Coturnix japonica: one gene and its partner. The protein of the gene in region 2 interacts with the protein of the main gene of each other region in a pairwise test. Links are inferred from orthologs where the notes say so. Each region holds a gene or a part of one and is shown on either strand. Other genes may lie near its edges.

Region 1 (3,818 bases), on a different chromosome or scaffold from region 2:
CTGCAGTTAGGAATGGCATCCAACTTCATTCTTCCTTTTCTGCAATGTACTGTACACCTTAGAAATTCTCTCGTCCGTATGCAGTTTCATGGTGATAGCAGGTATGAAGTCTTCCTATGTAAGGCAAGCCACAAACTTCAAGAGCTGTCTGCAGTAACGTGAGCAGCTTATAGGTGGCGCTCCTTGCCCAGACTTTTAAGGCTCTGCTGCTTTTCCTTCCCAGCGAGTGGGAGGAGATGAATAATGTAAGAGTGAACTTAACCTACTGACAGGCACTGATTTAAAACATTCAGTGGAAGGTAGAAAAACAACAACTGGTCAATAGTACAGTTATAAAAATGTGGGAGAGGAAAAAAATTATAAAAATTCAGTTCTAATTGGAGACTTGTATCAAAACCTTAGAAAACCAACAGGCAAAACATAAGTAAACATTATACACTTAAGCTCCTCCTCCCACCACAGTGATTGTGTAATTTCTGAAGATCTGGTATTCTGTTTGTTGGAGTGGTTGTGTTTGGTTTTTGTTGTTCTCCTCATGAGCCCACAAGATCTCTCAGTACAGGTCATAATGGAAGCAGCCTGTTTAAAGAGGGTGGCCCACAGTTTAAGTTGAAAAGTTAGAAATATTTTGTATTTGCTTTGCCAGAGTCCCATAGAATGCAGGGGCTGGCTAATGTCTATAAAGAGCCATGGGCAGCTCCGGGCAGCAGAGCTCAGGGACAGTTGTCCTCAGGAGTGGACTTCAGTTGAATTCCCCAGCGGTTCAGGACAGGCTTGTTGGGATGTTTAAACTGAATAACAGCTGTACAGTGATGTTTCCATCTTTCTAGGATAGTGCATACATTGTAATGGTTTTTATAAAGTTAATCCCTATAACGCAATTAAAAATCCAGTTTGTAGCTCATTAAAGCTTTGTGTGATCTTTTTGCACCAGTAGGTACTTGTTGCCATAATGGTTGGACCTCCTACCAACAGAACTGTAAGCCAAAACAAAAGTAAGCTGAACTATCTCAAGGTAAGTCTTGATTATTCTAGTTTGCACACTCTTCATCAACTGCTCAGCTGCAAGTGTTCTATCAACTAGAACTTTAAGATAGAACGATCTTGTATTATGTTGTGGTACCTGTGCATCCATGCTTCTGAAGCAATGACTCGCAGTAACAACTTCATGGTTTCTTCTTTTTTCCCCATACAGTACAAAAGGGATAGAATATTGTCAGCACTGCAGTGACATTTCTTACTCCTCCAGTCTGAAGTTAGCTGCTAATCAAGACTCATTTAACAACTCTGTCAGAAACAAAGTGTCACAAAATGGCATTTACTGCCAGAAGGTCCAGGCTACCTCAGTCACAGTCAGATGCTGTTGCTCAAGTCAAGCTGCTGCTTTTACTAAATGATTTTGTTTGAGTTTCTTTGAAGTAACCTATTGCAAGACATTTTTTTTTCCTTAAGGCTGTGACAGACCATTTATAATGATGCTTGGTATAGCTGGTACGTGCTAACAACCTGAAAGCTAACCCTGTGCCTGCTGAAAGCCAAAACCAAGCCTGTATAATATCCTTCGAGTTAGGGATAGGAATAGCGTTACTGAAGTATGTTCCAGTGCTTGAGTGGTAAATGAAATGTAGACTGAGTGAAGACAGGCTTTCCACTTACATAAAAGGGGGTGGAGGGGCAAATAGTTGAAATAGTACAGCTACACTGGGAGGGGAACTGAGAAAGTTGAGTAACTGCTGTCCATCACAACTCCTCCTGGGAAAGAAGGGTAGGGTGGTGCTTGACAAAGGGGGTAGTAGGAAAACTAAGGCTCTGTCTGGAACAGATTTTTGAGGTGGGCGGAAAGGTCTAGCATGGTTCAAACCAGTGTAAGTAAGTGCTATTAGTTAAGAGGAAAAATACTTATGTCTTTTCTGATTTCTCTTCATGAGCTGCTTGGGCTAAGAACGCAAGGATTTGCTTGAGTTTTCCCTCTTAACAGTTTAATTTGACATTTTTCTACTATAAGTTATCTAAGTCATAAGTGAATTCTTCTGCTAAAGTAGAAGCAGTAAAGAAACCTGAATATTGAACTTGATCTACATACCGACTGCTGCAATAATATATTAAAAACATCACTTTAAACAGTTCTTAAGGAAGCTCAAATAAGCTTACTTTATGCAGAGGCTGTGCATGATAAATGTAATACCAGATAGTAAACAGAATACTATTTCACTGGTGTTGCACCACACTATTTCCCTAGCTGGAGACCACTAAAAATTGCGCATGTATTTTGCTCTCAGAGCTTTTCCTGAAGCATGACTAACTACATGGTCACAAAAGACTAAAATCTTTTTTGACTTCAAGATACTAGTAAGACTGTCCAGGATAAGTAGTGCAAAACATAGATAGTCAGAATACATTGATGTCTTTGCTGAAAACGTTCTCTCCCAGACACAGGGAGTACAAAGACAGGCAACACTTCATGGAGTTGTTAAAATCTGAACAAAGTTTTTGGGAAATATCCCAGTTCTTCCTTGTATCTCTCCACTCATCCAGTCCTCGTCTACAGATTCCAGCTCTGTTATAAAATCTCCTGCCTGTAAAAGAAGGAGTAATGTGAGCCATTGCAGCTTTCCATGTAATATTATGGCATGCACTGTTCATGTTATTCAGAAGCAATTAATAGCAATCAAATAGCATGGTAGTTGGAGATGATCGCTCCTGTCAGGTAAACATAGTTTCAAAGAAATCTAACTGTCTCTTAGGGTAAATACTTGCCAAGGGTTGAAAAGCCACCAGTTTGTGGGAGGGAAAAAATAGTGCTGCTGGATAACTTCCTCAGTTGCTTGAGCCCTGTAGGTAGGTAGGTGTGTCACAGAGGTAGCCTAAAGGTTGCTGCCTCACTCACTGTTCACGTTCCTGCTCTGGTATGAGGACTTTTCTTCTTCAAACACCTCAAGTATTTTCTTTCAGTTTAGTCCCAGTATTTTCCACAGCTTGTAAACTTCCCTCTTTCCTTTGGAAACTTTCTCAAAAAAGGAATGTACTTGAAGCTCAGCGTGGCCTTGAAAATAAAGTTTATCTTCTATGTTTAATCCTTAGTCCTGCTTTCATCTTCCCATACCATACCCTTCATTCAAAGTATTGGCATAGCTCTAGCCTTTCTGCCAGTACCTCAGTTCCTCTTTTCTGTTTTAAAGAATCATCCACATCCTTCCCATAAGGCAAGCTGCTAATGCAGAAACTAATTATTTTCTCTTTCTAAAGTTCACAAAGTAACGTGTTCCACCTGATAAATGCAATCTTGGACCCGATGCAACTGTCTGCCGGTTCTTAGAAACTTGCTTTTGAGGACATTTACTTAAATGTGATGGTTTTTAATCTACAAGGACTCCATTTCTTTGTGCTTTTTCATATTATCTAGACATACAGCAAATACTTCATATTCCTCACACAGCAACTAAGGATCATGCTGCCAAACTTTTAGACTGACTTTTAGATTTTGCTGCACTAGGTCTCTGTTAAAGATATCCCTGCTGTAATGCTGCCACTTTATTATCACACCACCATGTTGCTGTCTTTCCTGTCAAAAAAGAGGCTCTTTTGACATTATTAACTGATCAGGAACTGAATGTACTACGAAATGAGGTGAGTTGGTCTGATCATACTTACTGGATTAGGGATGTCAGTGAAAGTCTACAGTTTCTGACTTCTTCTCTGTGCCTTCAGTAGAGATTTCACAAAGGGTAGGGATGAAAACTTTCTACAGTTGCTCTATATCAAATATGTTAAAATAATCACGTCTATTATCTGAGTACTTTCATGTCCCAAACTTGTTT
Region 2 (4,456 bases):
GTGGAAGAAGGTACAAATTACCTTCAGACATATACTTGACCAGAAAAAGGAAGTGCTTTTCATGTTTAGTAGCTCTTACATCATGTGTCACATACCATTAGGTTTTTTTTTCTTTTAATAAGCTGGGAGATGGAAGAAGAAATTTCAAATATATTTATATGTATTTTAAAAAAAATCAGCATCAGAAATATCAGTCTTTTGTGATTTGTTGATCCTTTCTTCAAATTCAATACCACAGTTCAATCCACACCTAAACTACCTTTCACTAGTAATCCTCAGCTGGAGGAACTTGATACAGTGCAAATCACCATCGTGGATGTAAAGACTCATACACAGATACATGATGAACACCATTGCCTTCCTATTACAAGAGAAAAACGTCCTATCAACCAGTGGTTTTGTAGCAAGACTGTCAAAACACCAAGGACTAACAGGGATCACCTCTCACCATGTCAGACTAAAACAACCAGCAGACAGACAAGGTTAAAACCACATGAGATCAGTGAGGCACACAGCTTGTCATCCCCACCAGGGAGCAGAAGCTTTGAGAATACACCAAACGGAGCACAGCCATACAGTCAGGTTAGCAATCGGCTGGCTGTGGGGGAGCAGAAATAACCACAGAATCACAGAATGACCTGGGTTGGAAGGATCATGTAGTTCCAACCCCCCTGCCTGGCAGGGCCACCAAACATACACCTTTACTAGATCAGGTTGCCCAGGGCCCTGTCCAACCTGGCCTTGAACACCTCCAAGGACGGGGCATCCACAACCTCCCTGGGCAGCCTGTTCCAGGGCCTAACCACTCTCCTAGTGAAGAACTTCCCCCTAACATCCAACCTAAATCTTCCCTCTTGTAACTTAAAACCATTTTCCCGTGTCCTGCTGTTGTCAGCCCTTTCGAAGAGTTTACTCCCCTCCTGGGTGTAAGTTCCCTTCAGGTATTGAAACCTGGAAACCAACCAAACTCTTTCTAATCCTGATTTCTAAGTGAAAACGCTTCCGTTTTCCTAACTTCTCATGAGGTGTAATCCACAACTTAAAAGCACGTGCATTTATTCACTTTAAAAGCGTGCTGCCTTCAGTTCTCCATGTAGGCATCTCTCCAGATGCCGGTCAGGCCCGCACCGCACAACCCCGGGCTGCTCTTCTTCCCCGATCTGCTCGCAGCACTGAGCACACACACAGCTCAATTTCCACACCAACTTCACACTTACCGACACCGCGTTTCACCCCTTATTCCCTACCGATGGTCCCTACCTACAGAGGCAGCGGCGTGCCCGTGGCAAGGGGCGGATGGCACCCGCTCCCAGCCAGGTTCAGCGACCGCTGCAGAGCCACGGCCGGGCGGCACAGGGACGGCATACCCCGCTCTCTGCCTGCTCCCCGGGGCCACCCCACCGGGCTCCTGCTGCCCCTGGTGCTGCTCACCCAGGCACACGAAGAGCACGGACTTTGCTTCCCCCGCCGCCATCTTCGCTCAGCCACGATAGCGCGACGCGGGCCTAATGCGCAGCCGCGCCGCCTGGCTTTACGGCTATAGGCGACCACGGGTTTTGCCTGTTTTAAGAAAACACAGCTGAGTCGAAAAAATAAATATATTAATAATAATAAGATAAATCAATTTTTATTGTTTTTTAAAGTTAAACCCTGAAAAACTACGCGGTGGTGATCACTGCGGGTAGGCAGGCGGTGGATGGCCGTCTCAGCCCCGCCCGCCTCACCTGGCGCAGGTGTGTGCCGCTCCGAGGGGCCGCCCCGGTGCTGGGCAGAGCGGGGCGAAGCCGGGGCCGGCAGCAGTGAGTATCCGTGGGGTCGGTGCCCATAGAGAGCCCATGGGATGGGTGCGGGGTCGGGAGGTGCCGGGTGGCCCTCAGGGTTGTGGCCGTCGATTGGGTGTCGAGGAGTTGGTGGTGTTTTTTGTTACGATTAAAGTGGTGAAGGATTGGAGCTGGCTGTCCAGAGGTGTCATTGTAGGTCTTCTATGTCTGAACTGCTCCCAAAGGTTTGACCTATTAGAGAAGGTACTGGGGAATCAGAATCACGACCTTCCATTATATAAAGGAGGGCTGTAAGAAAGAGGGGGTGAGGCTCTTTAGCAGGCTCTGTTGGGATAGGGCAAGGGGAAATGGTTTCAAACTAAAAGAGAGCAGATTTAGACTGGATGTAAGGAAAAAGAGTTTTACTGTAAGTGGTGAAACACTGGAGCAGGTTGCACAGAGAGGTGGTGGATGCCTTGTCTCTGGACACATCCACAATCAGGATGGACAGGGCTGTGAACAGCCTCACCTGGCTGTCGGTGTCCCCATTCACTGCGGGGGAGTTGGACTAGATTACTTTTATTGGGTCCCTTCTGATGTGAACTATGATTCTGTGCTTATAGGGAACAGAGATATATACAGAAAGGGGAAACAAGGGATAGGATGATCATAGGATGGCCTGGGTTGAAAAGGACCACAATGGTCATCTAGTTTCAACCCTCCTGCTATGTGCAGGGTCACTAGCCACTAGACCAGGCTGCCCAGAGCCAAATCTGGATGCTGTCCAGTTTGACTGTCAGTAGTGCCTTCTGCAGGAAATATCTGGAATGTATATTTTGTTAAGGTACCCAAATATATATATATATTTTTCTCCTGGATTGCTACTGTAACATATGGGGCAGTTGTGCAGTGCACATCCTGGGGGAAGGTGAGGGGCAGCTGTAGGCTACCAGGTGTTTGTTCCCTCTGTTCTTCTGTCCCTGGTGAGAAGTTAAACAGGATGGGGCTTGGGATTTTGTTCTTAAAAGCACAACTTTGTTTTAGTTAAAACTTTGTTGTGTAAAAGTTAGTGTGCTTGCTTAGCACCTTAGATTGCCTTGAAGTTTATTCTTAATTATTTAAAATAGGATTTGCAAAACTAAACTGCTATTCAGTTTAGGCCTTTCCTTTCTAGCATAGTGTGCAAAGTCTTGTGTTTAACATGAAGAGAAAAATGGCAGAGCTGAATTCCTAGCTCTGCTTTAGCTTTGGTTATGCTACTTACCTTGCTTGGTGGGCAGTGCCCAATCCCTCTGGTACTGACTGTTGACACATCAAACGTATTACAATAAGTGTGTTTGAAAGACTTGCAAACAGGGTTTCTGCTAGGCAGTTTCCTAAGGCTTGGATGGCACGGTGGATAAGCGTGGTGACGTTCCGCACAAAAGCCTGTGATTCTTGTTGCATTAATTCTTGGAAGATTTCACTTTTTAGTCTCAGACAGCCCCCAAAGTAACTCTACCTTTGGCACTTTTTGTGTCAGATATATATATATATATATATGTTGTGTCAATATAGCATTCCACTGTCTATATTCTTGAAAATGCAGATTTTTTACTGTCTTTGTATAAACTATCATTTCTTCATCACCTAAAAGGTGAATCTATTCATGTCTTGGGCTGCTTTAGCTTCATTTGAGGACAGTAGAATTGTTTTGTATATGTATGACTGGCCTTTAAGTTGGTGTTTAACACTTGGAACATAATTCTTTTTCTGGCCTTTTTCAGTGCCTGATCCTTCTGGATATTCTAAACTGAAAAGCTTGTTTTTGACTTGGTGTTGTAGTGCTCATGCAATGTCTCCAACTTTAGTGGCTAAAATTGATGATTTATTGATGCTAACTTTGCATGAGTACAACGTGTTCAGTGATGCTAAGAAGGGTGGGTTTTCTACTGTTGACGGATAATTTATTAGCCTCACATCAATCCTAAACTATAGTATTGAGGAATACTACAATGTACACAAGTGTTTTATAGAAGATGATAATTTATACAAACTTATTACTATCCACATACTGTGCATTTTCTTTCTATTCCAATGGTATATCTGTCTGGATGGCATTGCCTCATATTTCACATCTAAGCATTTACTCTGCTAAAACCACGTTATGAAACATAAACTCCCCTAGCAGCTTAGCTTTCTTCTGCTCCTGAGATGAGGAATAGACACCTTGACAGACCTGATGAGCAGTTGTCATGCTAATACATTTTGTTGCTTTTGCTTTCATTTTCCCTCTTGTATTTCTTGTCTGTTTGCCTTGAACGATTATTTGAAACATTAAATCTGTTTTGTTTTTAAAATGTTGGTCCAAGATCATCATGCATCTCAAATCTACAAACTTGAAGTAGCTTACTGTAACTGGTCACCCCATGCTGCGGGGTGACCTCATTGCAGCCTTTCAGTACCTGAAGGGAACTTATTTCCAGGAGGGGAGTAAACTCTTCGAAAGGGCTGATAATAGCAGGACAAGGGGCAATGGATTTAAGTTGAAAGAGGGTCGATTTAGGTTGGATGTTAGGGGGAAGTTCTTTACTAGGAGAGTGGTTAGGCCCTGGAACAGGCTGCCCAGGGAGGTTGTGGATGCCCCGTCCTTGGAGGTGTTCAAGACCAGGTTGGACGGGGCCCTGGGCAACCTGATCTAGTAAATGTGTATGTTT

Evidence for each region.
Region 1: the proteins of SH3YL1 (region 2) and SH3D19 interact in binary tests that used the Homo sapiens proteins (3 or more experiments, as listed by UniProt). The link is inferred for Coturnix japonica from reciprocal best matches to the Homo sapiens genes SH3YL1 and SH3D19.

What each region holds. Positions count from the first base shown.
Region 1 is NC_029519.1:29,300,250-29,304,067, forward strand, and holds part of SH3D19 (SH3 domain-containing protein 19), read right to left. Parts: intron 2,577-3,818; coding exon 2,460-2,576; 3' UTR 1-2,459. UniProt on the Homo sapiens protein: May play a role in regulating A disintegrin and metalloproteases (ADAMs) in the signaling of EGFR-ligand shedding. May be involved in suppression of Ras-induced cellular transformation and Ras-mediated activation of ELK1.
Region 2 is NC_029518.1:83,920,032-83,924,487, reverse strand, and holds the start of SH3YL1 (SH3 domain-containing YSC84-like protein 1), read left to right. Parts: upstream 1-1,641; 5' UTR 1,642-1,696; coding exon 1,697-1,799; intron 1,800-4,456. Other genes in the region: ACP1 (low molecular weight phosphotyrosine protein phosphatase), read right to left, coding at 1,432-1,474.